Anolis sagrei: one gene and its partners. The protein of the gene in region 3 purifies or fractionates together with the protein of the main gene of each other region. This does not show direct contact. Links are inferred from orthologs where the notes say so. Each region holds a gene or a part of one and is shown on either strand. Other genes may lie near its edges.

The links.
Region 1: the proteins of AMFR (region 3) and DERL2 purify together in Homo sapiens (affinity purification with western blotting; 4 studies listed by BioGRID and IntAct, with this or other methods). This does not show direct contact. The link is inferred for Anolis sagrei from reciprocal best matches to the Homo sapiens genes AMFR and DERL2.
Region 2: the proteins of AMFR (region 3) and RNF185 purify together in Homo sapiens (affinity purification with mass spectrometry; 3 studies listed by BioGRID and IntAct, with this or other methods). This does not show direct contact. The link is inferred for Anolis sagrei from reciprocal best matches to the Homo sapiens genes AMFR and RNF185.

The regions. Positions count from the first base shown.
Region 1 is NC_090031.1:30,189,125-30,192,882, reverse strand, and holds the start of DERL2 (derlin-2), read left to right. Parts: upstream 1-1,279; 5' UTR 1,280-1,304; coding exon 1,305-1,397; intron 1,398-3,758.
Region 2 is NC_090034.1:49,579,857-49,583,614, forward strand, and holds the start of RNF185 (E3 ubiquitin-protein ligase RNF185), read right to left. Parts: upstream 2,785-3,758; 5' UTR 2,649-2,784; intron 1-2,648. Other genes in the region: CXH12orf43 (protein CUSTOS), read left to right, coding at 2,864-3,272. UniProt on the Homo sapiens protein: E3 ubiquitin-protein ligase that regulates selective mitochondrial autophagy by mediating 'Lys-63'-linked polyubiquitination of BNIP1.
Region 3 is NC_090028.1:6,655,703-6,659,460, forward strand, and holds the start of AMFR (E3 ubiquitin-protein ligase AMFR), read left to right. Parts: upstream 1-1,570; 5' UTR 1,571-1,802; coding exon 1,803-2,060; intron 2,061-3,758. UniProt on the Homo sapiens protein: E3 ubiquitin-protein ligase that mediates the polyubiquitination of lysine and cysteine residues on target proteins, such as CD3D, CYP3A4, CFTR, INSIG1, SOAT2/ACAT2 and APOB for proteasomal degradation.

The DNA of each region.
Region 1 (3,758 bases), on a different chromosome or scaffold from region 3:
AATATAATATAATTGTATATATATATGTGTGTGTTTGTGAGTATATATATATATATACACACACATATGTATTTATGGGTGTATATGTACAATGAAATTATACCATTATAAATATTATGAATATATATAACATAATATAATATAATTGTATATATATATGTATGTGTGTGTGTGTATATGTACAATGAAATTATACCATTATATATATTATGAATATATATAACATAATATAATTGTGTGTGTGTATATATATATATGTAAAGGTAAAGGTAGTTTCCTGACATTAAGTCCAGTCATGTCTGACTCTGGGGTGTGGTGCTCATCTCCATTTCTAAGCCGAAGAGCCGGTGTTGTCCGTAGACACCTCCAAGGTCATGTGGCCGGCATGACTGCATGGAGCGCCCTTACCTTCCCGCCGGAGCGGTACCTATTGATCTACTCACATTTGCATGTTTTCGAACTGCTAGGTTGGCAGAAGCTAGGGCTGACAGCGGAAGCTCACACCGCTCCCCGGAATCGAGCCTGCGACCTTTCGATCAACAAGCTCAGCAGCTCAGTGCTTTAACCCACTGCGCCACTTGGGGCTCTCATGAATATATATAACATAATATAATATAATATAATTTTGTGTGTGTGTGTATATTTATACACACACACACACACACATATATATATATGTATTTGGGCATATATGTGTGTATATGTACAATGAAATTACACATTTCATTGTACCATTACACATATTATATATATTGTGTATATATATAATATAATTGTATACATATATATGTATGTATTTATGGGTATATATCTATGTGTGCATATGTACAATGAAATTATACCCTTTATTATTATTGTCTCATATCCTCTACACATGCAGAATCAAGTACAGACTTACCCCAAAGGAGGCAAACCTTCAATCCCTGCGTCTGCTATACATATAAACAGGACTGACTTCCCACCAGGCCTGACCGGAATGGAAAGCAACGGCGTTCCCGCCCATTCTTGAAAACCTCGCCTGGCCACGCCTCCTCCTCTTTTTCCTGCCCATCCCGCGCTCCCATTGGTCCAGACCCAAAGCTATCCGGAGGTGGAGGCCTCCCATTGGCGGAGAGAGGGAACCAATGGGCGGCGGCGCGAGGCGAGGGGGCGGGGAAGGGCTGCGATTGGCGGCGCCGGCGAGCAAAAGGCGATTCTGATTGGCCGGGCGAGAGAAGCGGAGGGCTGGGATTGGCTAGACGGAGGGGAACACGCTTCGGGCTCCGATTGGCCGGGCGGAGGAGGGTGGGGCCACGCCAGGCAAGATGGCGTACCAGACTTTCCGCCAGGAGTACCTTCAGGTTCCGCCGGTCACCCGGGCCTACGCCACCGCCTGCGTCCTCACCACCGCCGCCGTGGTCCGTGAGTCGCGCCCGGAAAGGGATTGGGGGCGGAGGGAAGCGCGGAGGCAGGCCTGAGGGGGGAGGGAGGCCTGAGGGGAAGCTAGGCCGCAATCGGTTGGGGTCTTCGAAGAGAAATCGAGGGGGGATTGTACACTCAGGCCTCACAGAGAGGATTCCAAACGCCTCCTCTCAGCTTTCTCTTCTTCAGGCTAAACATGCCCAGCTCTTTAAGCCGCTCCTCATAGGGCTTGTTCTCCAGACCCTTGATCATTTAACAGCCCAAAGTCTATTAACAACACATTAATAATGATTATTATGATACAATAATAATAATAATAATAATAATATAATGATAATGATAGACCACACCTGGAATACAATTCTGGGCACCACAATTGAAGGGAGATGTTGACAAGCTGGAATGTGTCCAGAGGAGGGCGACTCAAATGATGAAGGGTCTGGAGAACAAGCCCTATGAGGAGCGGCTTAAAGAGCTGGGCATGTTTAGCCTGAAGAAGAGAAGGCTGAGAAGAGACATGATGAGGGCCATGTGTAAATATGTGAGGGGAAGTCCTAGGGAGGAGGGAGCAAGCTTGTTTTCTGCTGCCTTGGAGACTAGGACGGAATGGAGCAATGGCTTCAAACTACAAGAAAGGAGATTCCATCTGAACATGAGGAAGAACTTCCTGGCTGTGAGAGCTGTTCAGCAGTGGAACTCCCTGCCCTGGAATCTAAATACGTTAGAGGAAGTCATAGGGAGGAGGGAGCGAATTTGTTCTCTGCTTCCCTGGAGACTAGGACGCAATGGAACAATGGCTTCGAACTACAAGTAAGGAGACTCCATCTGAACATTAGGAAGAACTTCCTGACCGTGAGAGCTGTTCAGCAGTGGAACTCTCTGCCCTGGAATGTGGTGGGGGCTCCTTCTTTGGAGGTTTTTAAACAGAGGCTGGATGGCCATCTGTCAGGGTTGCTTTGAATGCAATTTTCCTGCTTCTTGGCAGAATGGGGTTGCACTGGATGGCCCACCAGAGCAGTACCTATTGATCTACTTACATAGTAGGCCCCGCGGGATGAGAGTGGGAGTAGGAGCAGGGGGACCCATTCCTTCCCAGCCCAGAGTGCATGTGCACCAGAATCAAGGCTTCCCTCCCTCTCCCTAAGCCATTCCCCTCCTTACAAAGCTTATCTGCATATTGGGGGTGATGGGAGTTGTAGTAGGAGGCTGAGAGGAGACATGATGAGGGCCATGTATAAATATGTGAGGGGAATATGTTATAGGGAGGAGGAGCAAGCAAGCTTGTTTTCTGCTGCCCTGGAGACTAGGACTCTTACTGGAGTATACGTCCCCGTCCCCCCCTCGTGGGAAAATTTGATTCCACATCTCCCACTATAATGAGCCCTCCTCCACAAATAATTTGTTTCTCTTTTATCTCACTCGAGTTTTTAACCAGTTTTAATTAGTTCTTTTAACCATTACATGTAGCCCACCCATTGTCACTGTGTTTATTGTAATTTTATATTGCTGTATATTCATATGTTTTATGTAATTATGATGTTGTTTATTGTTTGCGTTTTCGGTTTGCATTCGGTTGTTCTTTATTGTAATTGTTGTTTGGGCTTGGTCCCATGTAAGCCGCTCCAAATCCCCATTGGGAAGATGGTGGCGGGGTACAAATAAAGATTATTATTATTATTATTATTATTATTAGGACCCCATGGAGCCATGGCTGCAAACTACAAGAAAGGAGATTCCATCTGAACATCAGGAAGAACTTCCTGACTGTGAGAGCCGTTCAGCAGTGGAACTCTCTGCCCCGGAGTGTGGTGGAGGCTCCTTCTTTGGAGGTTTTTAAACAGAGGCTGGATGGCCATCTGTCGGGGGTGCTTTGAATGTTATTTTCCTGCTTCTTGGCAGAATGGGGTTGGACTGGATGGCCCATGAGGTCTCTTCCAACTCTAGGATTCAATGATTAACAGCCCAAAGTCTAAAGTTTCAGAGTCTAATGGAGCCTCTGTCTTCTTCCTAAAGCATTCTGTTTCTACTGACATCTAAAAGCATACTCCTTCTAAAATGGAGTCTGAGTCCTGAATAGTCCCAGGTCTGATCACATCGTCAGCAGCCCCTCCCACAACACAGAGTTAAGGAAAACTGCATACCAACACACACATATACAATATTGTAAGCAATAACAAACAACTAGTGGAGGCTTGAAGAAGGTTGCTATTTCAAACAATTTTCGTTCGCAAAGGCGCCAAAATGTGGAACTCCAAGCTTTTGTCAGAGATCATTCACATGGGTTACAAGAAGCTAGAGATTGAAGTAAAGGTGCAAAAGTGTAACAAACTTTTACAGTGAGACTATGACACAAAACA
Region 2 (3,758 bases), on a different chromosome or scaffold from region 3:
GTTTTGACAAGGATCATCTCCTATGTGGGTGTGTGTTGAGGAAGAACACCAGGACACTGAAGCAATTAAATGTGAGCCACTCCCTGATTAGTGTATATCAGGTGAAGTCTTTCTTGATGTATTCAGTGAGTGAGATGGTGTGTGAGAGAGAGGAGGTCTGATCAGATAATCAGAGACCAGATGGGATTACACTACAAGAATTGCTGACTATTTACCAAGAAAGAAGCAGCTAATGCATGTATTTAATGCATGGATTTTGTAAGTTATTTTTTCTGCAATGGACAATGTATATTTCCAAGGCTGGTGTGCTTTCTTTGTAAAGCTGCATATTTGACTACTCAAGAGTAAAAGTTATTTTTTCCTTCTACTCTGTGTGATTCAACTTAAGGGCTGGAGCTGGGAAGACTGCTGAGTAGCTTCCGTATAGACTAATAAACCGCAACAGAACACACATGGCACACAGAATCTTGATGGTCAACATACCAAATTTGGCTTCTACCCCTCTAATAAATACTGTTACTAGTTAACTAAATGATATTACCTAACACCTAGAATATATTAATAATAGAATCGAATATTAGTAGAATATAATAATATAATAATACAATAATGGAATATATAATACAGTAGAGTCTCGCTTATCCAACCTTTGCTCAACAAACATTCTGAATTATCCAATGCAGTCTGCCTCCTGCCCGGAGACACAACTGTTTCAATAAATTGCGATGTTTTGGTGCTAAATTTGTAAATACAGTAATTACTAAAGAACGTTATTGTGTACTGAGTTACTTTTTCTGTGAATTTGTTGTAAAACATGATGTCTGGTGCTTAATTTGTACAATCATAATATAATTTTACATTCATTCCTCCTTATTATCCAACATTTCATTGATACAACATTCTGCCGGCCCATTTATGTTGGATAAGTGAGACTCTACTATATTACCAGCTGTTAGGATTTCTGGGAGTTGAAGGCCAAAAACATCTGGGGACCCCAGGTTGAGAACCACTGCTTTAAAACCATGTTCACCCACTTTCACTGTACTGGAACCCAATTATCTAGTCATGCCAATGACTTTTTATACTTGACTAGTATGTTGTTTTTTCTTTTTCTCTCTTTATTTTTAACTTAATGTTGATATGTGTTATGCCCATGCTATTCACTAATAAAAATGAATCTTAAAAAAATTATAGAAGCATATATTAATAGAATAAAACTATAATATAATAATGTGATATTAATAAATACCATACTGTAATATATATATCTATATAAATAAAAATGTAATGTTCGTTTGTGGGATTAACATAACTCAAACACCACTGGACGACTTGCCACCAAATTTGGCCACAAGACACCTACTAACCCAAGGAGTGACCATCACTCAAAAAAAATGAGGTTGTCATTTAGGTATGAAATTTTATCTTGACATTTTAATGATGATATTTTTAGTTATCTTTTAACCTAATCAGGTTTGAATGTGTGTTGGTTCGCTGTTGTGGGGGTCTTGGGATGGTGATTGTTGTCTGTTTTTGATGTTGATGCGGTCAATAGACTTTGCTGCTGAGGTTGTCATTTGGGAGTTGTAGTTTCTGGGACTTATAGTTTACTTACAATCAAAGAGCATTCCGAACTCCACCAATGATGGAATTCAAACCCAAATATGGCACACAGGACTCCCATGACCAACAGAAAACACTAGAAAGGTTTGGTGGGCACTGACCTTGAGTTTGGGAGTTGTACTTCACCTACATCCAGAGAGCACTGTGGACTCAAACAATGATGGATCTGCACCAAACTTAGCACGAATCTTCCATATTGCCCAAATATGGAAACAGATGGAGTTTGGGGGAAATAGACCTTGACATTTGGGAGTTGTAGTTACTGGGATTTATAGTTCACCTACAACCAAAGAGCATGCTGAACCCCACCAACGACAGAATTGGGGCAAACTTCCCACACAGAATCCCCATACTTATGGCCATCCAGTCCAATTCCCTTCACCAGGACAAGAAAACGTAACCAAAGCCCTCCTGACAAAGAGCCATCCAGCCATAGATAGAGATATATATGATTGACACACACACAGATACAGTATCATAGATAGAAAGGAACCCCTATAGATGGACAATGATATATTTCATATGTTCCAGAGTAGGCAAACCAGACAATCTCCACATCAACACTGACAAAGAATCAGCAAGAAATACAGTTTACCCACAAGCAGAATGACATGACATATGTTAGAAACGAATACTTTCTAATTATTTTCCAGATCACCAGACTGGGCCACAGCGACGCGTGGCAGGGGACGGCTAGTATAGTAATAATATAATAGTAGAATAATACTACTAATAATTAGATTAATATAAGAATATATTATTAATAACATATAATAGTAGAATAATAATAATATGAGAATAGTGGAATATATAAATAATAGAATAGACTATAGCAATAATGATGGAATATATGAATAATATAATAGTAGAATAATAATAATATTACTATAATAATAGAAGAATGCCCTGTGGTAATAATAGAAGGAAATACCATTGGAAACCCCTCTAATAAATATATATAAGGAGGAGGAGGCTAGGCCGCAAAGCCTGCCTGGGCGTGAGGCATGCCTCTCAAGCCTACTCACCGAAAGTAGCCCCCTGCCTACTTCCCCTCACGCCGGCAAGCCTCCCCGCCAGCGACGCCTCCCGTTCTCCCTCCGCCGTCAGCTGATTCGATTAAGAGGGTTTTCCCGGAACCGGAAGTTACCAGGGACACTTTAAGCTACGGCACCCGTGCGCGCCCTGAAAATGGTTCCGCCACTTCCGCGCAGGCGCACTCGCTTGAGAGGAAGCCGACCGAATGCCTGTTTTCGCGCGGACGGATGCGCATTCGTCTCCGGCCGTTGACTTTGGCTGGTCGTTTCGACGCATGCGTACTTATCTCCCTCCGTTGCCTTTGTTTTGTTGTCTCTACGCATGCGCACGCTGGTTTTTTTTTTTTTTGCGCCGACGCATGCGCACTCCGTTTTTCTGCCTCGGTCTGGAAAGGGTTGCCTCGCTTTCCCATCCCCGCGCATGCGCTTACTGCTCTGGAAGGCAAACTTATCGGCGCATGCGTACTTCGCCTGGCTTTCTCCTAATGGCGGCGATTGGGAAGAATGGTCTCAATATTGCCAGCAGCAGCAGCGACGAAGACGAAGCAGAGGTCTTGCAGCGTGTCCGTGAAGCCGCCTGGGACCCTCCCCGCGGAGGCTTGGAAGCCTCGGCCGGTAAGGCGACAAGGAAAGCCCGCAGGCTTCAAAAGCGGCCTACTCGCAGGCACGAGGGCGCATCCGGACTCCAACTCCCAGAAGCCTCTTCCCTCGCGGCCAATGGCAAAGTCTTTCGGGAGTTGGAGTCCGTACCTGCCGGAAAGGCCTCTGGGGATTGGTCTTCTCCAGGAATCACGTGATTATGCTGCTAGAAGCCTTTTCGAAGGAGGCTGCAGGAAACACAAAGATTTATAGATATAGCTATAAATATAAATATTTAATAAAATATAATAATAATAATAATAATAATAATCATATAGTAATAATTAAACTATACAATAAAGATAAAAGTAATAAAATATATAATATTAATATAAGATAATATAATCATCATTATACTATATTATAATGATAAACATAGAATGATACTATATAGTATCACATAATTATAATTAAACTATATAATAAAGATAAAATATAATAAAAGAATATAATAAAATGATT
Region 3 (3,758 bases):
TAGATAGATAGATAGATAGATGATAGATAGGGGGATTATTATCTACTATCTAAATGACAGATAATAGATAGATAGATAGATAGATAGATAGATAGAGGGATTATTTATTATCGAAATGACAGATAATAAATAGATAGATAGATAGATAGATAGATGGATTATTATCTACTATCTAAATGACAGATAATAGATAGATAGATAGATAGATAGATAGATAGAGGGATTATTACCTATTATGTAAATGAAATAACAGATATAGATAGATAGATAGATAGATAGATAGAGGGATTATCTATTATCGAAATGACAGATAATAAATAGATAGATAGACAGACAGATAGATAGTGGGAGTATTATCTATTATCTAAATGACATAATAGATAGATAGATAGATAGATAGATAGATAGATAGATAGAGGGACTATTATCTATTATCTAAATGACAGATAATAGATAGATAGATGTCCTGTTTCCTTCTTTCTTCCCTTTCTGTTCCTGAAGTCGCTTCCTTCCTTCCTTCCCCAATCCTCCTTCCTCCCTTCTTTCTTTCCTTTCTGTTCCTTCCTCCTTTCCCTTCCTTCCTTCCCCAATCCTTCTTCCTCCCTTCTTTCTTTCCTTTCTATTCCTTCCCTTCCTTCCATAATCCTGCTTCCTTTGTTCTTCCCTTTCTGTTCCTTCCTTCTTTCCTTTCCTTCCTTCCCTAATCCTCCTTCCTTTCCTGTCCTTTTCTTCCCTTCCTTCCATAATCCTGCTTCCTTCTTTCTTCCCTTTCTGTTCCTTGATCCTTTCCTTTCCTTCCTTCCCTAATACTCCTTCCTCCTTTCCTGTCCTTTTCTTCCCTTCCTTCCATAATCCCACTTCCTTCGTTCTTCCCTTTGTGTTCCTTCCTCCTTTCCCTTCCTTCCTTCCCCAATCCTCCTTCCTCCCTTTTTTCTTTCCTTTCTATTCCTTCCCTTCCTTCCATAATCCTGCTTCGTTCTTCCCTTTCTGTTCCTTCCTCCTTTCCCTTCCTCCCTTCTTTTTTTCCTTTCTATTCCTTCCTTCCATATTCCTCCTTCCTTTGTTCTTCCCTTTCTTTTCTGTCCTCCTTTCCCTTCCTTCCTTACCCAATCCTCCTTCCTTTTTTCTTTCTATTCCTTCACTTCCTTCCATATTTCTTCCTTCGTTCTTCCCTTTCTGTTCCTTCCTCCTTTCTCTTCTATCCTTCCTTCCCTAACCCTCTTTCCTTCCTTCCTTCTTCCTTTCCTTTCCATTCCTTTCTTCCCTTATCCTCCTTCCTCCCTTCCTCCTTCTCTTCCTTCCCTAATCCTTCCTTTCCCTTCCTTCCCTAATCCTTCCTCCTTTCCTTCCTTCTATCCTGTCCTTTCCTTCCTTCCCTTTCTGTTCCTTCCTCCTTTCCCTTCCTTCCTTAATCCTCCTTCCTCTCTTTCTTATTCCTTCCCTTCCCTAATCTTTCCTTCCTTCCCCAATCCTTCTTCCTCCCTTCTTTCTTTCCTTTCTGTTCCTTCCTCCTTTCCCTTCCTTCCTTCCTTCCCTAATCCTTCCTTCCTTTCCTATCCTCCTTTCCTTCTCCAATCCTCCTCCCTTCCTTCTCTTCCTTCCTCCTCGTCAGCGGCGCCGCTTCCCCGTCACAAGGCCGCATTCCTCCTCCTCCTCCTCCTCCTGCTCTGTCTCTCCGGGGGCGGCGCTCGTTGGCCAGCCGAGCGGGCGGAGGGCGTGGGGAGGCGAGCGCGGGGCTGACCAGGCCCAACAGGCCTGTTTCCTCACAGCCTCCCTCACAGCCTTCTCCCTCACCGCCCGCCATGCCGCTGCTCTTCCTGGAGCGCTTCCCGTGGCCCAGCCTGCGCAGCTACGCCGCCCTCAGCGCCTTGGCCCTCCTGGGCAGCGCCCTCAGCGCCTACCGAGCCCTCCAGGCTGGGGAGGCCGGGGCAGGCGGAGGGGAAGGCGGGCCCGAGGAGCAGGAAAGGCCGCGGCGCCAAGAGGCCTCCTCCGCAGAGACCCCGGGCCCCTCCGCCCTCGACGTCGCCGCGTTCCTCCTCTCCGACAGCCTCTGCGTCTGGGTAAGAAGGACCTCTCTCTCAGCATCCACATCCATCATAGGACCACCATTCAGTATTTGTCATAATAATAATAATAATAATAATACATCTCAATAATAATAATAATAATATTTAATAATAATAACAGCGAATAATAATACATTACAGTAATAACAATAACATTGAATCAAAACAATAACTTTCAGTAGTAATAAGAGATATTGTTATTATTGAATTTTATTAGTACTATAATAATATAATAATACATTTCAATAATAACAATAATAATACATCTCAATAATAATAATAATAACATTTAATAATACTAACAGCTAATAATAGTAATATATTTCAGTAATAATAATATTTAATAATAATAATACTCACAGCTAATAATAATAATATATTTCCAGAATAATAATAGTATATAATAATAGCTAATAATAATACATTTCAATAATAGTATATAATAATAGCTAATAATAATAATACATTTCAAGAATAATAATATTTAATAATAATAACAGCTAATAATAATACATTTCAGTAATAATAATAGTATATAATAATAGCTAATAATAATACATTTCAAGAATAATAATATTTAATAATAATACTAACAGCTAAAAATAATAATACATTTCAATAATAACAATAACATTGAACCAAAACAATAACTTTCAGAAGTAATAAGAGATATTGTTATTATTGAAATGTATTAGTACTATAATAATATAATAATACATTTCAATAATAACAATAACATTGAATCAAAACAATAACTTTCAGTAATGATAATAGATATTGTTATTATTGAAATGTATTAGTACTATAATAATATCTACTATTATTAATGAAAGTTTTTGCTATTACTGAATGTTATTGTTATTATTGAAATGTACTATAATAATAATATTTAATAATACTAACAGCTAATAATAATACCTTTAAATAATTACAATAAAATTGAGTAATAGCAAAAACTTTCATTAATAATAATAGATATTATTATTACAGTACGAATACATTTCAATAATAACAATAACATTGAATCAAAACAATAACTTTCAATAGTAATAATAGATATTGTTATTATTAAAATGTATTAGTACTATAATAATAATATTTAATAATACTAACAGCTAATAATAATACCTTTCAATAATAATAACATTCACTAATAGCAATAACTTTCATTAATAATAGTAGATATTATTATTATTATACGAATACATTTCAATAATAACAATAACATTGAATAATAACAATAACTTTCAGTAATAATAATAGACTTTAATACTAATAGTACAATTTAATATTTACAATATAATAATACATTTCAGTCATCATAATAATTGTTTATAATAATACATTTCAATAATAACAATGACATTGAATCAAAACAATAACTTTCAGTGGTAATAATAGATACTGTTATTATTGAAATGTATTAGTACTATAATAATAATATTTAATAATACTAACAGCTAATAATAATACCTTTCAATAATAACAATAACATTCAGTAATAGCAATAACTTTCATTAATAATAATAGATATTATTATTATAGTACGAATACATTTCAATAATAACAATAACATTGAACCAAAACAATAACTTTCAGTAGTAATAAGAGATATTGTATTGTCGAAGGCTTTCATGGCTGGAATCACTAGGTTCTTGTGGGTTTTTTCGGGCTATAGAGCCATGTTCTAGA